Linked DNA regions of Arabidopsis thaliana. The protein of the gene in region 1 purifies or fractionates together with the protein of each later gene. This does not show direct contact. Each region holds a gene or a part of one and is shown on either strand. Other genes may lie near its edges.

Region 1 (7,090 bases):
ATCAATTTGAAAGTCGCTGTATTCCTGTTAATATCAGTCACGGTCACTAGAAGGTATAGTGTAGTTGTCCTGCATATTGTAGTTATTTGTTTTTGGTACTATGCCAAATGTAAATTCATATTTCTTCGACAATGGAGTGATCTTGGATTCCTTGCATATGAATTGGGTCTCTCTAAGCCATGGTGAACTCGATTTCATATTCAAAATATTTTGAACAGTTTGATTGTGTTTTTTTTTGTACTTGTCACAGTAGGTTAATGACATAAAGTTTGTCTTGTTCTGTTTTTGTTTTGTTTCTCAGGAGTTTTTCGAATGGGAGAAAGAACCTTTTTGCTTTCTAACCGTGTTCTATATTTTTGGAGTTGTCATAAGTAAAGCAGTATGACGCTTGAAGATTTCTTTACCCTAACAGAAATAAAAGATGGACTCACGGTCACTTCTCGTGTTGAAGAGCTTGTGTCTGTTATGCAGAGTAATAAGGATTCAGTTTTGAAGAATAGTGGTGATGCTTTTAGACAATGGACTGCTGTTGCAAGCACAATTGCGGCTACAAAGAACAGAGATTGTCTTGATGTTTTTGTAAATTTAGATGGACTTGTTTACTTAAGTAGCTGGCTAGCTGAAGCTCAGATGTTGGATAACGATTCAGTTGACAGATCTGTAGAGGAGTCAATTCTTGCTTTGTTAGAAGCTGTTGAAAATCTAGGTGTAGACAGTTCCAAGTTAGTTTCTTCTGGGTTATGGGTTGCTGTCAAGAAACTTGTGGACCATGGTAGTTCTCGAGTTCAGGATCAGGCGAGAAAGCTCTTTGGTAGCTGGAAGGATAAGGATGATTATGACCACTCTGAACATGACAGTGAAAGCTGTAACAAAATTCATGAAGATGAGATGAGAGTTGTAGCAGCAAGCATCGAGAGCAGTGGGCAAAAATCTGCTGTTACACTTTGTTCGATGCAAAGTACTAGTGAAAAACATTGTCCTGAAATAGCAGATGAAGCCTTGCTATCAGGATGCTCAGAAGGAAACATCCCAGATCAAGATAAGGGTTTGGGACTGCAGAACGACAAGGCTGGGTTTGTCTCGAACGTGAATTCCCACTGCTCTAATTCGATGACTGAAACTTTCAATGGTTCTTGTACCGATGATATCATGAAAGAGGTTCAAGAAAAACTTTCTGTGAAGGAAAAAAGCTCTATGGGGGAGACAAGTGGCCCAACGACTTTTGGTACTATGCCTACTGGGTCTAGTAGCCTACTTTATTTAGAGCGTGATAGTGCTGAAGGCCCATCAAATGCTCCACTGGATGCTGAGATACCCAAGGAAAAGCAGATGGCAAACTATTTTCTTGAAAAATTGGGTGAAGCAGGGACATCTAGTGCAGCAGGACACGTAGCTGTGTCTTCTGATTCTATTGTTGCCAGCATGGAGTTGGAGAAAAATAGTCTTTTGCAGAGTAGTCTTGATTCAAATGAGGTGAGCAAGAATGTGTCTGGGACGATATGTGGGTCGCACGATGTGAGCGTAGCCCATAATAGCAAACAGGTGTCTTCATTGACTCATATGACGGACAATCAAGATTCTGACAATTCATCAAGATTATCAGGTGGCCTTGGTAGAAGTAGAAAATTTGAGAGTGACAATTTAACTGGTCTTGCTGACAATGAAGGAAAAGATGATATGGGTCATTCTGACAAAAAGAGGAGAGTAAAACGGAGAAAAAAACGCATCTCTTCTAGATCAATGACCATATCCCAGCGCCTTGGAGCAATTGACAAAACAACTACTGATATTGATCTTGGTATTTTGGATGCCTTGGAGGTCGCTACCAAAGTCGCACAGGAAGTCGCAAGAGAAGTGGACTCTGGAGAACCTTCTCATAGTTCTTCAGAAGAACTATCCGATGAAAGCGGGCAGTCTGGTTCGCAATACTCCCGCGATGATGATGTACATACAGGTTCTCCATCTAAGGGATTATCAGTGACTGAAAACCATTCCTTTGAGGAACCTCATGTTGGAGATGATGATCTAATGGATGAGAAAGATGACAAACCTGAAAGTGGTGATGTTGAAGAAAGACACCTAGCAACAGCTGCTAAATCTGAAGTAGGCAGAGAGAAAAGCCCATGTGGCTTTGATCTTAATCAAGATATATGTCCTGATGAAACAGATGTCATTATGTCCTCCACATCTACAACCCCTGCTCCTATGTCTGTTTCATTTTCTGTCTCATCTTCTGCAATGCCTGCAGCAGCACCGTGGCATTTGGAAAGATCTCTTAGCGGGAAAGGATCAGCTGCTACGAGTGTATTTCACTCAGCATTACCTCATAAAGTTCCTAGTGGGGATTTAAGAGAAAAGCAGGTGATTTCTCGTGGTATCGATCTGAACGTGGCTGAGGTAGGAGATGATCAAGTTGAAGATCTTACTCCTTGGAAACAGTTTCCTTTCTCCTCATCAAACTCTAGGGGTGGAGAGTCTTCACATGAAGCCAGTCTGCGAGGATCAAGCAAGTTCAACTTGGATTTGAATTGTATGAACGAGGACGATGAGATGCCTCCACCTTCTGAGTCGAAGATGGAAACAAGATTGTTTTTAAGTCACAATGGTCAGCAAAGCGCATCACCTGTCTCCTCATCGTCAGTTGCTCAACAATCAGGCAAGGAAGTAAACTTTGATTTGAATGACAGGCCACAGTTTTTCATTGATTCACGTGATCAGGGTCCCTACTATGGGCGGCACCCATGGAGTACAGCCTCCTATGGGGGGCACAAATTGGAAGAACCAGGTATATCTATCTTGGGTACAAAAGTGGAAGCTGACAGAAAAGACTCTGTACCTCAGATGGCTTCGTTCTTGTCCAATGGCAAGTCCCTCGAGCCTGCAACAGGTTTACACATGGGAAGAACGGGAAACTCTTTGGGTCTAGCCCCTGGTGTCTCCTTTTCTCCAGCCCCTATGTATGGCTACAACGGATTGACTGGTCCTCCTGGTTTGTCAATGTCATCACCCATGTATGTTCCTGGAACTGCTATTCCATACATGGTGGATTCAAGAGGTACCCCAGTGATGATGCCGCAAATAATCGGATCAGCGCCGTATGTGCAGCCACCATTCCCTCAACAACACATGTTCATGAGCTTGGCGGGTGGATCGCCTAGTACGAATGGATCAATGCGGCCAAACTTTGATCAGAACTCTGGGTTTGGACTTGAGATAGGAAACAGAGAGTCGCTAAATTTGAGGCAGTTTCTATCACCTTCACAAAGCGGGGCTATGGGAGAGCATTCAGGAGCAAATGTAGAGCCCTCATCGAGTTCTTCTATCAGCATTGGTGGAAAGCGAAAAGAGCCGGAGCCACGTTGGGAGTTTCCTCCATGGAGGTGAGTGATCTACAAAGTGGTGGAGATGGGTTCTTGAATAGGTTGATGAATTGATTGATTGGTCAAAGGATGATGACAAGTGTTTTGAGGTAACTTATAAAGTGTCTTGCTGAACTTTTCCTTCTTTTTTTTTTATTTCCTCAGTTTTCCCATTTTTCAGGTTTTTTATTTTATTTCATAACATATAGGAGGATTAGTTCAAACATTGGTATATGTCAAGCTTCTTTTTAACCTTGTTGGGTTTTTCTCCATAAATAAATATATAGTTTTAAGATACAGAAAAGGTTCTAGTGGTTTGATTAATCTGTTGCGTCCATTTTCGTTCCATTCGTCGATATGTTATGCTCTCATTTCTGAACAACTGTTCATGGAAGAAAGCAGCGAAGGAGGTCTCTGGTGAGGAAGGAAGTCTCTCACGTGTTGTATCTTTCAATAAATAATGGGACCAAATAGACATTACCATTTTTGAACCGCGCATACATATTGCTACTACGGATGAGTGATGACTATGATCTTCCCAAATTGACAAATTGTATCGCCTTTAGGCGAGACTTTAGCCATCAACCGATTAAAGCCAGCCAAACGTAATAACCTTGGCAAGCATAATCATCGTTGTACAAAGAAAAACATCATTTTACTTTTGTATCCGACATCAATAAAAGCATAGCATCCTAATATCCAATAGTTATTTGTCACATGTAAAACAACTAAATATAGCCGTCCGATCGTCCCAATTAGGACGTAAACGAATATCACCGTTGATTTAGCATACTTTGATAATTTAAAAGTCGTCCATCCACGCCACAACCCCGAAATCCACGTCGCTCCACGTCAAGAACAAAACCTTGCTCCAATACAAAACTACCACGTGGCTATCTCACAATACGATCCGTTAGATCTGACACGTTGGCAAATCATGACGAAGCTAACCAATCAGGAGAAACTAAAGTGTACGCAACTAAACAGTTCACACATCACTGAATCATTTCCTATTATATACGGATCTATCGAGCTGAATCATCATCATCACTGAGTAACCCGAAAGCAAAGACTGAGAGAACCAAGGCTCCGATCTAACAATGAGGAAGAGGACGCTCGTGTCCGTTTTGTTCCTTTTCTCGCTTCTGTTTCTTCTTCCAGATCAAGGTACGTTTCGATGTATATATGTGTTGATTTTGAGTAGATAGATATAAGTGTTGCTTAGGATTCATATGCTGATGATGGCGATATTTCTGTGGTGTTTATCATAGGAAGAAAGTTACACGCGAATGCAGAAGAGAGTTCCGATGATGTTACAGATCCACCAAAAGTTGAGGAGAAAATTGGTGGTCACGGTGGTTTATCGACGGATTCCGATGTAGTTCATAGGTTAGTGTTCTGTTAGTTTCACGGTAGAACTTTCGCTTGGATTGCTTGAATCTTGCCTTATTCGAATTCGTTTGATCGACAGAGAGTCTGAGTCGATGTCAAAGAAGACGCTTCGCAGTAACGCGGAGAAGTTTGAGTTCCAAGCTGAGGTTTCTCGGCTTATGGACATTATTATCAACTCTCTATACAGTAACAAGGACATTTTCTTAAGAGAGTTGATCTCCAATGCTTCTGATGTAAGCAGCTTCGTGTACATTGTTTTAGTGAGTTTTTGGGATACCTCGTTAAATAGGGGAACTAATAAGTGTCTGTGTTGGTGATTTTCAGGCCTTGGACAAAATTAGGTTCCTTGCACTCACTGACAAAGACGTTTTGGGTGAAGGTGACACTGCTAAGCTTGAGATCCAGGTTAGCTACATGTTTCTCAATATGATTTTTATGCTTGAGAGTGTTGAAAATAGAGTTTCATCGATTTGTTTTATCAAATGCTGATCTCAGTAAATTTAGCCTTTCGTTGGAATTGTGTCTAGTGTAAGCTTTTTTCTTACCTCCGTAACTATGCTATGGTATGCAGATTAAGCTAGACAAAGCCAAGAAGATTCTTTCTATTCGAGACCGGGGAATTGGTATGACTAAGGAAGACTTAATCAAGAACCTTGGTACCATAGCAAAATCTGGAACGTCAGGTACGTTACTTATGTGGTGATACGTTGTCCTGCATAATAGTATGGATCAATAAATTCCATATTTCTAAGATCTTGCCTTTCGCAGCTTTTGTTGAGAAAATGCAATCAAGTGGGGATTTGAACCTTATTGGACAATTTGGAGTTGGATTCTACTCTGCCTATCTTGTTGCTGACTACATTGAAGTCATTAGCAAGCACAATGATGACAGCCAGTAAGTTGATTTAGAGGGCTTTGTTTGGCAATATACTTGTGGGCATGTAAAATCATTGAAAAGCTTTTCTGATAACTTCTTTTCCGTTTTCAGGTATGTATGGGAATCAAAGGCTAACGGTAAATTTGCTGTTTCCGAGGATACATGGAATGAGCCTCTTGGACGTGGAACCGAGATTAGATTACATCTTAGGGATGAAGCTGGCGAGTACCTAGAAGAAAGTAAACTTAAGGTGGGTAATATTTTGATAAGAAAGTAAATTTCTCTTTTGTTACAAACCTAAATTAAGCAATGCAAAGAACCAGAATAACCCAGGGTTTGTTGTAGAGAACCCCAAACTCTCCTGAGGGGAAGTGGTTCAGCATTATTATGAATTCAGTGCACTGCTTATTCAATATTTCTGTTTATCCTCTCATTATGGTTGCTAATGATCATTGTTGTCTACTACAGGAATTGGTGAAGAGATATTCTGAATTCATTAACTTCCCTATCTCCCTCTGGGCTAGCAAAGAGGTTGAAACCGAGGTCCCAGTTGAGGAAGATGAATCAGCTGATGAGGAAACTGGTGAGTATTAATGAAACACCATATTATAATTTTCTGCTGCAGTGTTATCTTTTTTCCCTTCAGTTTAGGCAGCCCTGATTTTTGGTAATGGTACTTGACTTCAGAAACCACCTCTACCGAGGAAGAAAAGGAAGAAGATGCTGAGGAGGAAGATGGTGAGAAAAAGCAGAAAACCAAGAAGGTGAAAGAAACAGTTTATGAATGGGAGCTTCTGAATGATGTTAAGGCTATATGGCTGAGAAGTCCAAAGGAGGTGACAGAGGAAGAGTACACTAAATTCTACCACTCTCTCTCAAAGGTGAAAACCATGCGTTAACTAAATCATACTTGTTACATACTAGGTGTAAAATTTTCGTGTGGATTTCCCTGACCCCAGTTGTTATACAGGATTTTACCGACGAGAAGCCAATGGCTTGGAGTCACTTTAATGCTGAAGGTGATGTTGAATTCAAGGCTGTGTTGTATGTTCCTCCGAAAGCTCCCCATGATCTATACGAGAGCTATTACAACAGCAACAAGGCGAACTTGAAGCTATATGTCAGGAGGGTGTTCATCTCAGATGAATTTGATGAGCTTCTGCCTAAGTATTTGAGTTTCTTGAAGGTAAACTACTTGAAAGACAAACTAAGGGGTTCTTTCAATACAAATTTATGGGCTAAATCCCTAACGTGAGTTGCTTTTGCAGGGTCTTGTTGACTCTGACACATTGCCTCTAAATGTATCAAGAGAAATGCTTCAACAACACAGCAGCTTAAAGACAATTAAGAAGAAGCTTATCCGAAAGGCGCTTGATATGATCCGCAAGCTTGCTGAAGAAGATCCTGATGAAATCCATGATGATGAGAAAAAAGGTATTCCATAAAACAAGTTTCTTGGTAT
Region 2 (7,090 bases), on another chromosome or scaffold:
AAAAATGTCAAAAAGTAATCAGTGAAAGAGGAGAAAAAGATCCGCGATTATCATGAGGGTTTATAGAAAGTGATGGAGTATACCAATCCCTAGGTGAGTGTTCAAGCTGGCATACCTCGGAGTCCCAATTAGACTTTTATTCTCCCTGAATCATTTACACGTAAAATCCAAACAATAAAGAACCCGTTGTCAGGAAATCTGAAGCTGACATACAATATGCTGAAAATGCTGAATCTGTGACATCCAAAATCTTGTTACCTGTATGGGATATGTCTATGAGTTGAGCTGTCTCTATATTTCTTAGCCAAACCATAGTCTATGATGTAGACCTAGAGAAAGAGACCAAAATCAGTCATACAATAGCGAGACCCCAAAAACAAATCCAACTGAGAGAATTTGCAAAAGTAAGAAAACCTGATTTGCCCGCCTCCCTAAGCCCATGAGAAAATTATCCGGCTTTATATCACGATGAAGATACGACTTAGAATGAATGAACTCGAGACGATTTATCTGACACAAGATAAACCCAACAGTGAGAGAGTTACATTAAGAATGACAAGACACCAATCCAAAGCATAATTACCATTTGATCAGCAAGCATAAGAACAGTCTTCAAGCTAAACTGCCTCTTGCAATAACTAAACAAATCTTCAAGACTTGGACCAAGCAAATCCATGACTAAGACATTGTAGTCCCCCTCAACACCATACCATTTCATATTTGGAATCCCAGCTACATTAACGAACATACACAAGAAATGAATAACCAAATGAGAATTCAATAACAATAGAGATAAACATTTCATTGCATACTTCCACCCTGAAGAACTCTATATATCCTCGACTCATATGACAATTGCGGATGCGCAGTCTTCACACTTTCCTGCACACACACAAAAAAAACTAAGTTTTGATGATCCAAGTTGGGACTTTGAAGAGATGAAACACTCACAAGCTTAATAGCAACTTCTTCGTTAGTCTGAACATCAGTTCCTGCAATCAAAACAGTCTCATCAAACGACTATTGAAGAGATTTTATATGTATAGAGAGGGGAGGAACGAACCGAGGTAAATCTCTCCGAAAGAGCCGCTCCCAATTTTGCGGCCAAGGCGAAACTTGTTCCCAACACGAGGTTCCATACCCAATTGAAAAAACCCTAACTTTGTGGTTTTATCTATCTACTACGTCGAGCGGATTTCTCGATTTCTCATGCGGAGGAGAGTGAAGTGCGATGATCAAAACTAGGGCTTTTGCGAAGAAGAGGGGAAGAATCGAGCAGGTTGAAATTGGAAGTGAGTAGGTGAGGAAATTTAGGGAGATTCCATGGTGTTTTGGTTAAGCAACCAGAAGCAAGCAAGATGAAGAAGACTGCGCGTGTGTGTGTGTCTCGCTTAGCCTGTTGCTTTTGGTCTTTTCTATTCCTTTTCTCAATTTATTAAATATCTTTATTCGGTGAAAAAAATATACAGTATATTTCTTAGAAACTTTATAATAAGAATAAGGATTTTGTTTTTATATTTTCCTAAATTCCATAAATCTCTTAAGTTTACAAATTCATATATCTTTTAACATTTAAACAAATAACCAGACTTCTAGTAATATATATAAATTTATTTAGGGAGTGTTATTGGTTTGTGATGTATTCGAAGTTTCAGTGACTTAAAATGTTATGAAGAATTTGTTGTTATTCAATAAAGATTTTTCAATTTTTTGTTAAAGTTTGGTGTTATTAGTTTAAGATTTGTAAAAAGTAATATAAAATCTTCATAAATGTAGAGTTATTGGATTCATATTTTTATAAAGTTATTAAATTTTTTGTGTAATTCATTTAAAACAAAGAATCTATGATTATTATAATGAATTAAATTATTGTGTTATTGGTTTATGACTTTCTACCCTTTTTTTTATAAAATAAAGTTGTGAAAAATATCATACCCTTTTTTTTTACAAAATAAAGTTGTGAAAAATATCATAAAAATAAAGAAATTGTTTGAGAAACTTTACAAAATTATTAAAAACTAATCAACAAGTTTATTAATGACCTTAAACCAAAATAGGTACATATAATATTAGATAGATCATGCAAATGCGTTTGGTGGTTATGTTACTTTTGTATCATTTGATTGGCATGATGTTCTACATTTTTTTACCATTTCTCTATTCTTAAGTCGAAATCTTTAGGACCAAATAAGCATTTTTCCCTAAACTAACAAAGCAGCATCTCACTAGATGTTTTCCAATCAGATTTGCTTACTATAGTGTGCTAATATGAAATTTGAGTGACTCATGACAATGCATCAATCCAGATTAAGCATTAACATGTGATCAGCTAGCATTCATGAGAATATGAGAATTGTCTTCGAGCTAAAAGAAAGTAGACTCTTTTTTCACTTGAGAAACTCATGACATACTTTTTTTTTATATACATTTGTTTTTTGATGATTAGGTTAAACTTTTGTAATAAATAAATTTTTAGTTAAATAAATAAACTTCTATCATCAAAAGACTCGTGAGTTTCTTCCTATGTTGCAATGAAATGGAAACGAAAACGCGAATACGAAACGTTTCGGAAACGAGAAACGATTTTTTCTTAAAATTAGGGATTGGAAACGATTTTTTCTTAAAATTAGGGATTGGAAACGTATACACATACATACATATATATATATATATATATATAACATTAACATAAAACTATATTAAAGAAAAAATGGTTTAAACAATACAAGTCCAAAACATCAATATTAAATAAATAAACTAAAATTCTAAAAGATAAAAATTAAAAGGTTCAAGTTCAAATAGTTAATTTAGACCAACATTTTCATTTTCATTAGTTTCATCAAAGATAATATAAAGCTCTTTTCAAATCTGGTTTATCAAAAGAAATATCTTAAAACTCAAAGTCTTCCAAAATTAGTTATATGTATTAATAATTTTAATAATTTTAATTTTAGTTATTAAATTTTCAAAGTTGAAAAAAATTTGTCGTATGTCTATTTGGGAAACATGAGTTTCTATCTTTAAAACGTAAGTTTCCATCGTGTTTCCAAACATAAATTTTTAAAAAACGCGTTTCCGTTACGTTTTTCATGTTTCCGGAGAGTTTCTGTTTTCGTAACGTTTCGGAAATGGGAAATAGACCTCGGGGCGAGTTTCCATGCAACCTAGATTTCTTCTAACCAATAGAAATGCTCTTAAAAGCCTTTTTTTAAAAAAAATCAACAGAAATGCTCTTAAATGTTAAAAACAAATATTCATGCCAAATTTTGATGTAAAAATTTGTTATTTTCGCTTTAGTTGTGTCTTATTTCGGTCTGGTCATTTTCTCAAAGCCCTTTTAGTTATTTATATATATATTCTCTGTCTCGTATTTGTCCCCAAAAATCTAGGGTTTTAAGGTTTCTTATCCTTCCTCTTCCTCCGCCAGATTCTTTTCTTGCGAAGATGAGCAACGACAAGGACAGCATGAACATGTCCGATCTCTCCACCGGTAAGATATTATAATCTTATTGTCCTATAGAATGAGGCCTGGATTCTCTTTTGTTCTCTTGATTTATTGAAAAAAGCTTCTCTTGTTTTGTGTTTTGCTTATAGCTCTTAACGAGGAGGATCGTGCCGGGCTTGTTAATGCTCTTAAGGTGAGTTTTTTCTTCACGATATGATTTGCGTATGACTATCTGGAGATTGGGCTATTCATCTTTGTAACTTTTAGGGATTGTTTTCTCTTCCTGACTAGTTTTGAGAAATTGATTTGATTCTTATGGCTTAGAGAATTTGACTTTGGTTTTGAGGATTGTCTATGCATCTTAATTTGGTTGTTTGAAAGTTTGTGACTTTTCCTGATTTGATTTACGTGTTTGCTGCAGAACAAGTTGCAGAATTTGGCTGGACAACACTCTGATGTCCTTGAAAACTTGACTCCACCAGTCAGGAAGCGTGTCGAGTTTCTAAGAGAGATTCAGGTGAGTAAATTTTCAGCTTTTAGATGATCTTGGATTTTGTATTGGTTTTGAATTAGCTGGCTGTTCAGGTCTAATGAGTTTTTGGTGGAGCAAATTTATCTGATTCCTTTTGTATTTTAACCTTTGCAGAACCAATATGATGAGATGGAAGCAAAATTCTTTGAGGAGAGAGCAGCTCTTGAAGCTAAGTATCAAAAGTTATATCAGCCTTTATATACCAAGGTTTGAATACGGTCTTTGATTCTGCGAGATTCTTATGGTCTTTAGTTTCCTATTATTAGAATATCTTTGAAACACATGATGACACCTCAATTGATAAAGGTTTAATAAGACTTCTCTCTGTTGCTACTTACGTGAATGATTAGTGCTTCATGGTTTTCACTTCTTTCTGCATCATTCGTGATTGTAACTGATATTGATGGTCTTCTGCCTTCTGCATCACAGCGATATGAGATTGTGAATGGTGTGGTCGAAGTTGAAGGTGCAGCTGAAGAAGTAAAATCCGAACAAGGAGAAGATAAATCAGCTGAAGGTGTGTTTATCGATTCTTTTACTGAAACATGTTTATTTTTAGTATCTTATGATGATGATGGTGAACTCATGATTTTTATATGATATGAAACTGTCTTTCTGCAGAGAAAGGAGTACCAGATTTCTGGCTTATTGCATTGAAGAACAATGAAATTACTGCGGAAGAGGTTCGTTATTAGAATATTCTTCTTTTTGGTTTATAAAATGGCGATTCTCTTTATCATTATGTGGTTTTTTCCACGGTTTTAGATAACTGAGCGAGATGAAGGGGCTCTCAAGTATCTCAAAGATATCAAGTGGAGTAGGGTTGAAGAACCAAAAGGGTTCAAGCTTGAGTTTTTCTTTGATCAGAATCCTTACTTCAAGAACACTGTCTTGACCAAGACATATCACATGATTGATGAAGATGAGCCTATCCTTGAGAAGGCCCTCGGGTAATGTTTTGCTCTATCAAGTATTTACTGTTTATGTTCTGAAGACAATAAGTCTTTATTGACTGTCGTTTACTGCTGTTCAGGACGGAGATTGAGTGGTATCCTGGAAAGTGTTTGACACAGAAGATTCTAAAAAAGAAGCCAAAGAAAGGATCCAAAAACACAAAGCCGATCACTAAGACTGAGGACTGTGAGAGTTTCTTCAACTTTTTCAGTCCACCTCAAGTTCCTGACGATGATGAGGATCTTGATGATGACATGGTATTTCCATCTCCATAAGCAGTTTAGTTTTTAGAGTCAGTAATTAAGATTGTGTTGGATTTTAATCTGATCATCTAATATTCACAGGCTGATGAACTCCAAGGACAAATGGAGCATGATTATGATATCGGGTGTGTACCTTTCTATTTCATATTCAGTTCTCTTCACTTAGTTCAGTTCTAGGATCTGAGTCTGTCCACTGTTTATCCTGTAGTTCAACAATCAAAGAGAAAATCATCTCGCATGCTGTGTCATGGTTCACTGGTGAAGCTGTTGAGGCAGATGACCTTGATATTGAGGACGACGATGATGAGATTGATGAAGATGATGATGAAGAGGACGAGGAAGATGATGAGGATGACGAGGAGGAGGATGATGAGGATGATGACGAGGAGGAAGAAGCAGATCAAGGAAAGAAGAGCAAAAAGAAGGTAAATTATGTGGTTTTGTTCTACTTAAAACCTTCCTACATAGGAAACTAAAACCTCTGAAACTGATTTGGTGGTTTATCTTTTGTTTTGTTGCAGTCATCAGCTGGGCACAAGGTTTAACAATCAATCAATCTCGATCTTTTTTTTTTGTTGATAATGCAATGGCTAACCTGAGGTATCCTTTTTTAATGAACAGAAGGCTGGAAGAAGTCAACTTGCGGAAGGTCAAGCAGGTGAGAGGCCACCGGAATGTAAGCAGCAGTGAAGAAGTGAAGAATCTTGGCTTAGTTATGATGAAGAAGAAGAGTGAAGAGTGTCTTTGAGCCGAGGTTGTGTTTCTTTAATTTGCAGAGTCATGGTCCGGTTTATTATATATCAGTTTTGGGTGATTGGTTTGCTATTTAAAAAAAAAAAATGGGTTCTTTGGTTTGGTTTGTGTCTCTTGATTTTTCCTTTTGTAATGATCTTATGAATTTGTTTCGAGTTAATGTCGTTCTCTGGTCAGATTTCGAATTCAATTCTATTTATCCTCCCTCGTTAATGAGAGAATTTGTGAGACAATCTAGTTTACTTAAGATTGATCGAATTTTATAAACCAACATTACCAAACCGTCAAATAATTAAAACCAATCAATCTTATTTATCGGTTTGCATAACCCATCAATGAGCCGGTTTAGACATCGGTTTGAGTTTCTCTGGGAAAGACAAAAGTCAAAAACATCTCTGCCGACTTGTAAAAGACCGATCAACAGAAACCCAAAAAAAATAGTTGAAACGGAGGGAAACGAAAACCTAAAACCCTAAAAAACTCTTCCTTTTTTTTTTCCAGTGAAATTTCTCTTCTTCTCCGTTTTCATACAAGTCTGACTTCTGGGTAGTTGGAATTTTCCAGTTTTTGGTTTGTTTCTGTATCTGTGGTTTAAAAAAGTGGAGAAGAAGCTTTTTAGTGCTTTTCTATGGCGAGGATTCTCCGAAACGTTTATTCACTGAGAAGCTCTCTGTTTTCGTCAGAGGTATGTTTATCGTGTTTCTCATTTGGGTATTACGAGAAATTAAAAAAACTCTGTTACTGTCGTTTTCATTGCTTATTTGGGTATTCATTCATGAGAAAGAATCCGAAATGTTGTCTCTTAATTTGAATTCATTCTTTTTTTCTGGGTAATGTTTATTGACAAGGGTTTCATGGGGTTTTGCAGTTACTTAGAAGAAGTGTGGTTGGAACATCGTTTCAGCTCCGAGGCTTTGCTGCCAAAGGTTGTCTTAAGCTTTTACCTTTTGTTTCTATGAATCGATTTTACTCAAATTGGTTTTTGATTTTGATGAATATATGTATTTCCACAGATTACTAGAGCTAAATCCGTTTGCGTTTCTGATTGCTTAGCTCACTGTGGTTGTTAAAGTTGAGGTTTTTGCCATTAACTCTGCAATTGTTTTTGTTTTGAAGCTAAAAAGAAATCCAAGTCAGATGGAA

The links. Proteins that work in one complex are often made in the same cells at the same time.
Region 2: the proteins of SHD (region 1) and NAP1;2 fractionate together in Arabidopsis thaliana (co-fractionation; one large-scale study listed by BioGRID). This does not show direct contact.

The regions. Positions count from the first base shown.
Region 1 is NC_003075.7:12,553,221-12,560,310, reverse strand, and holds the start of SHD (Chaperone protein htpG family protein), read left to right. Parts: upstream 1-4,252; 5' UTR 4,253-4,459; coding exon 4,460-4,526; coding exon of another isoform or gene 4,527-4,530; intron 4,531-4,630; coding exon 4,631-4,748; intron 4,749-4,830; coding exon 4,831-4,984; intron 4,985-5,075; coding exon 5,076-5,156; intron 5,157-5,322; coding exon 5,323-5,434; intron 5,435-5,519; coding exon 5,520-5,646; intron 5,647-5,739; coding exon 5,740-5,878; intron 5,879-6,096; coding exon 6,097-6,211; intron 6,212-6,315; coding exon 6,316-6,509; intron 6,510-6,598; coding exon 6,599-6,814; intron 6,815-6,896; coding exon 6,897-7,062; intron 7,063-7,090. Other genes in the region: AT4G24200 (Transcription elongation factor (TFIIS) family protein), read left to right, coding at 382-3,384. UniProt on the Arabidopsis thaliana protein: May have a molecular chaperone role in the processing of secreted materials. Required for shoot apical meristem (SAM), root apical meristem (RAM) and floral meristem (FM) formation, probably by regulating the folding of CLAVATA proteins (CLVs).
Region 2 is NC_003071.7:8,435,157-8,442,246, forward strand, and holds NAP1;2 (nucleosome assembly protein 1;2), read left to right. Parts: upstream 1-3,299; 5' UTR 3,300-3,444; coding exon 3,445-3,490; intron 3,491-3,594; coding exon 3,595-3,638; intron 3,639-3,866; coding exon 3,867-3,962; intron 3,963-4,091; coding exon 4,092-4,184; intron 4,185-4,406; coding exon 4,407-4,494; intron 4,495-4,598; coding exon 4,599-4,660; intron 4,661-4,742; coding exon 4,743-4,927; intron 4,928-5,010; coding exon 5,011-5,188; intron 5,189-5,275; coding exon 5,276-5,319; intron 5,320-5,402; coding exon 5,403-5,619; intron 5,620-5,715; coding exon 5,716-5,733; intron 5,734-5,815; coding exon 5,816-5,884; 3' UTR 5,885-6,345; downstream 6,346-7,090. Other genes in the region: ckl5 (casein kinase I-like 5), read right to left, coding at 84-145, 259-329, 415-510, 584-732, 813-882, 952-992, 1,064-1,139; RECA2 (recA DNA recombination family protein), read left to right, coding at 6,576-6,632, 6,816-6,873, 7,064-7,090. UniProt on the Arabidopsis thaliana protein: May modulate chromatin structure by regulation of nucleosome assembly/disassembly. May function in nucleotide excision repair (NER). Involved in somatic homologous recombination.